2 separate regions of the Mus musculus genome follow, and region 2 is reported to be linked to region 1. The links are microRNA targets in miRTarBase. Many come from high-throughput screens and were not tested one by one. Region 1 holds a microRNA gene; the other region holds the end of a gene's coding sequence.
What was found. The annotated mature microRNA mmu-miR-681 reads CAGCCUCGCUGGCAGGCAGCU and lies in region 1 at 2,568-2,588, shown strand. An mRNA with a match to its seed (bases 2 to 7 or 8) in the 3' UTR can be bound and repressed. Matches are read on the target gene's strand: a 7mer-m8 pairs with bases 2 to 8, a 7mer-A1 pairs with bases 2 to 7 and ends in A, and an 8mer does both.

Region 1 (4,392 bases):
TGTCAAATCTCTGAGAGAAACAGTTGTTTATGAAGAAAGATTTATTTGGGTTCATGAGTTCACAGACTTTGGTTCATGGTTGACTGGCTCTCTGGCTGGGGGCCTGAGGCAGGGAAGGATATCGTGATGTTCCTGTGATAGGCTGAAACTGCTTGTCTCTTGACAACCAGGAAACAGAGAGGAGTAATCGGAAGTGGGGGTGGGGGGGAGAGGTGTCAACATTTACCCTTTAGAGGCATGTCCCAAGTGACTCACTTCCCTCAGCTAGGCCCATTTTCTACAGTTCCACTCCTGCCTAATAGTTCACTCAAAAGTTTAAACCTATCGATTAATGAAACCATCCATTCGCTAGGACGGAGCCTTTGTGTTCTTGTTGTCACTGGGAAAGCCCTCACAGACAGAGCCAGGGGTGGGCTTCACTAGTTTTCTTGGGTCCCCCTCAATGCAGTCAAGTTGATACTCAACAATTAACCATGACAACAGAGCAGGGGGGAAAGCAGGGATACCCTAAATAGAAGAACTTCTTATATTAAAGGCATTATATCTACTGACACGGCTCTCTCCAGAAGCGGGCATGGATGCAGCCAAAGTGCCTCAATGTGACAACAAAGGGAGTCATGTTTTCCCCACCCCCACCCCAATCCGTTTCTCCTCATAAAGATGGTAAACTGGTTTTATCCATCGCCTGGCACTAAGCCAGCAGACACAGTTTATACACGTATGAGAAAGCAGCTGCTCTGCTGTTTTGTACCGCGCTGGGAGGTTGGCTTGGCGCTCACCTTGTTGTGGCACCATGGCTACTGTCTTGGTATGCTGACAAAGCCAGATGTCTGGAGGTCCAGAGACCATGGCCACAGCAGCCAGTCTGCCAGCTGCCTTGCTGAGAAAGCAGTGCATGCCCTGTGTTCTGGAACGAGTTCTCTGCTGCATTAGGACACTTTCGTGTGTCTTTTATATACACAGGAATATAACCTTTAGACCTATGGTTACTGTAAGCCATTACATTGAGTTGCATTATTTCTAGCCATTTCCCCCATCCCTGAAGATTCAAGAACTTGTCAGCAATTTGGTCTGATCAATAATTCTACCGTAAATTTCCCCCTACAAATAGGTTTTCCTTTTTCTTAACTTTCGATTTAGAAGTTCTTGAACTAAGGTTCTCCCCAAACCAAACAAATTTACTTTGCCACCCAAGATGTGAACTGTTAGACATTTTTCCTTATAACCATGCCAACTTGGGTTCTGTTATTCAAATATTTTATTTGTGAAGTCCATCAAATGCATAAGAAAGGAATAGCAACCCGATCCAAACTCCAGGAAAGTACAAAGGAAACACTTCCAAGTCATGCTCTGAGTCCACCTCTCCTGATGCAAAAGCCAGGTAAAGGCGTTTCACGTCAGGAAGACGATAAATGAGTAGCTCTCGTGAGCCTCAGTGAAAACCCCCTCCTAAGATTATTAGCGGATAATGTAAGACAAAAAGTGGGATATTGACATTTCCTAACGTTTTTGGATATTGTGGGCTTCCTATTTTTAAACTTAATTTATTGTATGGGTATCTTGCTCCTGTGTGTGCCGTGCGTGTGCCTGGTATTCTCAGAGGGCAGGAGAGGGTACCTGTGTCCTGGGACTGAGGTTGAGGATGCTAATGCACTATCCTGGGGATTCTGGGAACTGAACCTGGGTGCTCTACAAGAGCAACACGTGCTCTTAACGCCTCAGTCATCTCTCCAGCGCCCGCAGACTCCCAGTTTTGATGGATGAAGATTTCACTCTCTTAAATCACATCTCCAATTCCCTACCCCAGTTGTCCAAATACTTATACTAGCAAGTCACATTATAGAGCTCTGACTGTGCTGGGCTCACTCTGTAGACGAGGCTGGCCTCGAACTCACAAAGATCCGCCTGCCTCTGCCTCCCGAGTGGGATTAAAGGCGTGCGGCACCACTGCACCTGACTTTCTTATCATATTTTTCCTAAAACTAATACCTACTTTACCTTTTAATTTGCCTAACATTCTTTAACCCTAGCCATAATTTCTTCCATTTTCAAAATGACCTCTCATACTTTTCTTCAGGGCACTCACATCTGACTCTGCTAGTATGTATGTATGTATGTATGTATGTATGTACTTATTTATTTATTTATTATTTTGTTGTGGCATCCTGCCATTAGTTCCCTGTGTCAGGGCCTGCTGTCCAGCTGTCCCCCTAGGCCCCCTATTGCTGCTCACCTGCGGTTTCCCCTGCATTTCTCTGCAGATGAATTCCTTACTTCCTGGGTTTCCTGTCTTCCTTTTTCTGGGTTTACCTTTGTTTTTTTTTTCCAAGTACACCTGTCTCTAATTGGTAAAAGGGTAGTATAGTCATTCAGAAATCTAGCGTAGATATTTCTAACGATCCTTCCCCCTCTAGAAACCCCCAGAAGTGAAGCAATGAGGAGTCCTTTGTGTTTCTGGAATAAAACAAACTTCCCAAGGCAGGCAGATTGCTGTGAGTTCCAGGCCAGCCAGGGCTACACAGAGAAACCCTGTCTCCAAACAACAGCAACAACCTCAGAGCACAGTGCAGCCTCGCTGGCAGGCAGCTCCAGAGTGTGGCTGTCCTCATCACTCTCCCTAAGCAGGTAGATGGGTTTCAGTTCACTCGCAGTCCAGGGCCTCCAGCGGGACAGTTGTAGCTTTCAGTAAGACAACTCCCTCACCCAAACAGGGCCACGTGACTACCAGTGGAAGGGTGTGCCTTCCCAAGTTCCCTCCATCTTGGTTTGAGTTGGAGGATAAAGGGAACAAACACCCATGCCTGACTTTTCTCAAACGCATTACCTGGCTCTTGAGGGCCTCATGTGTAGGTCTGGGGATTTGTACTCTTCAGGAGTCTAGTTCCAGGGGCCCCAGGCTTGACTGTCAAATTCTGAGCACTCCTTACCTAGAAGAAAATGATATATGGCTTGTCTAGAGTTCAGTCACCCAGTTGCCTGGTGGAAAAGACCCAGACACCAACTTCTTTCAGAAGCCATGCTCTGGTGCATTGGTGATTCCTTTGAGGGGAGAGCATATGTTTGAGCAGGACTCCAGTGGGAGATATCTGGGGTAGGAAAGAATGGGAGGGAACTGGCTTCTTCCCATTACCACTGCCCCAGTCCCTCTACCTTCTGCCCTAGAGCAAGACCATATTTTGCTGTCAACATAGAAACACACACTATGAAGCCAACCAAACTTCTTAGCCTTGTCACCACAGACTACAGCTGAGGAAGATCTGTCTCAGTCTGGGGGCTCTTCCCAGTCACCCCAAGTTTCCCAAAACATCTAAGTGTATTACAGATTTTCATAATTTACCTAGGATGGCAGAAGGCAGAGGGTATGATGAAGACAACCTCCAGCCTTCCTAACTTGTACATCATATTATTCCAACCTGGATGGGTTGCCTTGCTCGCCTGGAAGGTGGTTAGTCACCTTCCAGGCAAACAAGGCCTGGTTGCTTTTTTGAGACAATCTTTTGCTATGTAGCCCAGGCTGCCCTTGATTTGAGATCCTCCTGGCTCAGCCTCCAGAGAATTGGAATCACGAGTCTGTACCACTATTGGCACAGTCCCCAGTTTTATTAGAAGCTGCCCCTGAGCATCATATCGCCTCTGGTTTTGTTTATGGGAAGCCCCAAGCTTCACTGTGCACTTAGTTACCTGGCTGAGCCACTTACTGGGACACCAAATCAGAACCTTCCGATCTGTGCCCCTGAGCTTGCCTTCAGCCTTCCAACTGTGACTGACTGCCAGCTGTCTCCCAGCCTGCGAGGACAGCAGGCTCAGAGTCTCAGCACTCAATAGTTTACTTGTGGATTTGGAGAAATGGCTCAGTAGTTAAGAACAATTGCTGTTCTTTCGGAGGACTAGTGTTTTGTTCATAGGACCCACGTTGGGAAGTTCACAACCACCTGTAATTATATCTCTGGGAGATTCAATGCCCTCTTCTGGCCTCTATAGGTACACACACATATGTGTACTCTCTCTCTCTCTCTCTCTCTCTCTCTTCCAGTTTTCTCCTGATGTTGCAGAGTATACTATTTTTCTTCCTTTCCCCAATAGTGAAAACTGGTGTCCTGGTATGATCTCAGTGTGCTTTAGCTAAGAAGATTCTTAGAATCTGAGGCTCCCATGTTACAGAGAAATGAAATAATAAAGGCAGGAAATAGGTAGCTACCAGGTGACACCGTGTAGTTTGAACAGTTTCTACATTGAGAAATGTGATGGTGTGATACTGTGCTCAGCATTAGGGGAACACTAAGGATACAGAATCATAATTCATTTGTAAATACTCCCTTTGTGTTATTTATTTTGGGACATATCTTTGGAGACTGGAGTTTCCTGGCACTTTTAGCTTTATCTTAGAAAGTC
Region 2 (4,392 bases), not on the chromosome of region 1:
TCACCACAGGCGCTTTAGTGGAAAGGGTGATAGCTCCGATCATGTTTCTGTAGGAGCCTTAGGAAAACTTTCTTTCTGCAATACTGATGGGCTTTTAAAAGCACGCGCTAAATGAAACAGTTGGCAGAGCTAATTAAATACGTACGTAAAGGATAACAGTTTCAAGAGCTAATTAAATTTTTGCAAAATTTTCTGAAATTTTATAGATTATAAATTTTGTTTAAGTGCCTGAGTCTTCTGTGAAACAAATCGTTGAGTGTAGGAAAGCTCTTTATTTTTGGTGCACTGAACGCTGTGATCAGCTAAAATGGTTTTTAGCAGAATACCTCGTCTTCATTTACTGAACTTGTAAAGTGGGCTGTAAAGTGGGCATTTTTCAGTCTCACTATTTCAGGCCCAGCGTTAGCCATCTGTGTGTCAGAACTCGGGTTTTAGCAGACATACAATGTTGGCAGCTCTCTAGCCAGGTACATTTGGCCTCATGACTGGGTTTTTCATTGCAGATGCTGTTGCATGAGAAGGCGGAGGCACTGCAAGGAGAAGCAGAAGAATTACTGAGATTGCCTGCAGACCTCCCTGGGCTTGGGGGTCCCAGCTCTGAAAGGGCAGGAAGCCATGCTGGGGACGTAACTCTGAGCTAGGGCATTTGCCTGAGATGCCTCCGGCCCTGGAATAAATCCTCAGTACCTCCAAGACAGAAGAAAAGGCCGGGGGGTTGTAAACTGCCCAGTGGTGAGCACCTGTAACGCAGCACTCGGGAGACAGGACGGACAATGAGTGTCAGAAATCAGCTTCAGCTACACTGAGAGTTGGAGGCTAGCCTGGGCTGCATGAGTCCCTGTCTCCAAAAGAAAAAACCCCATGAAGCTGTCTGATGTATGTTTTTTAATTTGACTTATTTATTATATATATATTTTATTATTGAAAATCCCCCGTGTAAATGAAATGTGTATTTTAATTATACATTAAAAGCTGTGGATGAGCTTTTAGAAGGCGCTCTGGGTGATTAAGTCTACCGTCACCTGTAACTGCCGAACCATCTCACTGATAACCCATTTCTCCTAGTCCTGAGTTCCTGTACATTGTTTCCTGCTCAGAATTCTCCTCAGCACACCCAGCCTGACCTGGCTCTTTGCTCACATCTTTCACTGTTTTCTTACCTTCTCCCCGCCCCCCTGGTGTCTTGTTCTTGCTGACAGGTGCCAACGACTGACACACGTGCTGACTTGTGCTGTGGTGCTGCGTTGTAAGCTCAGCTGTCACCCTCATTTCGCCCATCAGTTTGCACCAAAATTACCAGAACCCTGTGTGTCCTAACTGATGTGTTATCATCATTGTATGAAAGTGTTAATATACTTCTAGTGTCAACTCAATACTCAAATCCTATCTCTGTGAAGTTACTCCGCACTCATCCCCGTAGCCCTTACAGGGTGCTCCCCACTGAGCACTGTGAAGTTACCCCATACTCATCCCCATAGCCCTTACAGGGTGCTCCCCACTGAGCACTGTGAAGTTACCCCATACTCATCCCCATAGCCCTTACAGGGTGCTCCCCACTGAGCACTGTGAAGTTACCCCATACTCATCCCCATAGCCCTTACAGGGTGCTCCCCACTGAGCACTGTGAAGTTACCCCATACTCATCCCCATAGCCCTTACAGGGTGCTCCCCACTGAGCACTGTGAAGTTACCCCATACTCATCCCCATAGCCCTTACAGGGTGCTCCCCACTGAGCACTGTGAAGTTACCCCATACTCATCCCCATAGCCTTTACAGGGTGCTCCCCACTGAGCACTGTGAAGTTACCCCATACTCATCCCCGTAGCCCTTACAGGGTGCTCCCCACTGAGCACTGTGAAGTTACTCCATACTCATCCCCGTAGCCCTTACAGGGTGCTCCCCACTGAGCACTGTGAAGTTACTCCATACTCATCCCTGTAGCCCTTACAGGGTGCTCCCCACTGAGCATTCCAGGTTTTCTTTTCCTTTCGCTGTTATTTCAGGAATGTTCTATGTTTTCACTAATAACGTTTGTGCCACCTAGCATACACCACCATTTACAGAATAAGAATGTCTGTGGGGAGAACCACGTTAACAATTTGAAGACTCTGGTTTTTTTATTTTATAAACTCTATTATTAGAAAAAAAAACTTGCAAATGATTAAGCACACTTACATACACCAAAATTAACCAGAAATAATTCTTTTCAAGACTCTCTTAAGTACAATGTTTCCTTTATCAGAATTATAGTGAAAAAGAGTTAACCTGGGACTGTGGAGAGACTTGGTGGTCAGAGCACTGGCTGCTCCTGCAGGGGACCAGGCTTCAACATCCACATGACAGCTCACAGCCACCCATAACTGACCCCAGGGGATCCACGCCCCATTCTGGTCTCCACAGTACACACACCTGCAGGCAAAACACCCACGCACACTAAAAATACAAGTTAAGAACTGTTTAGCAGCTAAGCCAGGATAAGGAAAGATGGGGCCCAGCAACATTACAAGCACTGGACTGGTTTGGGTAAGCACTTACTGGTTTGGGTAAGTTCTGATCACCTGAGCAACTTCTATGGGAAGGTTTTCAGAGGAAAGTTCACGGCCACCTTCCGTGTCCTGACGTAGTAGATAACACCGCACTCACTGACATGGTATTATTCACTGTGTGTCAGAAGCTGCCGCTTATGCAGTCATCCTGGGGCTGTGAGGCAGGTGCTAGAATCCTCACTGCGTGGCTGAGTGAACTGGAGAGGTTAAGGTAGCTTATCCAAGGCCATAGAGTGTTAATTGCTAGACAGGAATCCCAAGGCCATAGAGTGTTAATTGCTAGACAGGAATCCCAAGGCCATAGAGTGTTAATTGCTAGACAGGAATCCAGATCTGTGCGGTGCCCAGCCTGGTGCTCATGCATGCGTTATGTAAGGTTACTGAAGGGACTGGTGTCAGCACAAGACGCCATGACCAGGTTATCAACACATAGGAGACTCATTTGTCCCAGAGAGACAAAGGACAGGAGAGACAGGAGGAGGGAGAAGGGGACGGGAACATGAGAGGGGGAGGATATTTACCCCAGAGGGACAAAGGACTGCCTCTGAATAGAGAGGACAGACGTGACACATAGGAAAATGGCAGTTTATAAAGGTACAAGGAGAAACCTTGTGTTAGGATGAGGTGTTTAATTTTAAATGGGCATGTTAATTAGTTGAGTGAAGGGGATTTTTTTAATTATTATTATTATTGCTGGGCTTTAATAATTTGCTAGTTGGACCTTGGTAGTCAACCTCAGGAGGAGGAAATGGCCAAATCAGGGAATAGACCCTGTGGCCAGTTTTAGAAATCTAATCATTGTTTACAAGGCAGAGGGAATGGGGAAGGGCCTGCTAAAACCCTTCAATTATTTTGGTGGCTCTGTCTGTGTTTCCCTTTCAAGTGTTACTTTCCTCTTGCGTGACAAGACTTTTCCTGGGGAGATACAACACACATCTCTACTAAACCTAGATAAGGAGCCCACTACAGACCTCATTGCAGATACCACCAAAGTCCCACTTGGTGAACCAGTATGTCTTATTGGGATTACTAACATAAAGAGCAGAAATGACTGAAAGACAACTGCACCACCAAATCTCACCGCAGCATGCGTGACAGCTCATGAAGTTGGGAACCTGGAGCACACTGCACAGCCTGCGTGCTGCTCAGAGGGTTGACGAGTGTCCCAGGTGGCTCACTTCATCTAAGCCTCTTCTCAGCACCTTGGCTGGCTTTTATTGCTTACCCTGAGAGGGAGGGGCCTAGTGAATCTGGTCAGTTTCAGGGACTTCCTGAGGCTATTTGAGTTGTTCCCCTCTGTCTTTGGAGTTTTCTATGAGATGGGATGATTCAGCCTCAGAAGAAACTGCTACACAACACCCCCAGCCTTGACTTTATCCTGGCCTTGCATCCCTATTCATGCACCATCTCTAAACTTCTTCACTCATACCAATGTCTGACATCCTAATGATTTAGGAGTCTCTTGGGCATCACTGCACATACCGTTTATTACAGTCAAACATATAAAAGAGCAGCTGGCTAGACTGCTGGCTGCTTTGAACATCTAATAGAGGCTCCCAGTAGGGACATCACTCCTCAGTTTTGTTACACCTGGAAACCCCAACTTTATTTATTTAGTTTTCCCGATTAAGCAAGGTTCTGAATAATTAATTCTCACTAATTAATCAGAGAGGTTTTTTTGGTTTGGTTTGGTTTGGTTTTGGTTTGGTTTGGTTTGTTTTTTTTGTTTTTTGTTTTTGTTTTTTTTTTTTTTTTTGGTTTTTTTTTTTTTTTTTTTTTTTTTTTTTTTGGTTTTTCGAGACAGGGTATCTCTGTATAGCTCTGGCTGTCCTGGAACTCATTTGT

Region 2: the mRNA of Helq is a reported target of mmu-miR-681. Seed matches in the 3' UTR shown: 7mer-A1 at 813-819.

What each region holds. Positions count from the first base shown.
Region 1 is chr12:69,762,119-69,766,510 of GRCm38, reverse strand. Mir681 (microRNA 681) reads left to right here and starts at 2,567; the gene lies at 2,567-2,676. All of the region lies in intron 3 of Cdkl1 (cyclin-dependent kinase-like 1 (CDC2-related kinase)), which reads left to right.
Region 2 is chr5:100,758,748-100,763,139 of GRCm38, reverse strand. It overlaps Helq (helicase, POLQ-like), which reads left to right. Exons shown (of 18, transcript NM_001081107.1): 18 at 504-992. The coding sequence ends at 641. Among named protein-coding and RNA genes, the nearest start is that of Gm36619, 34 kb to the right of the region's middle.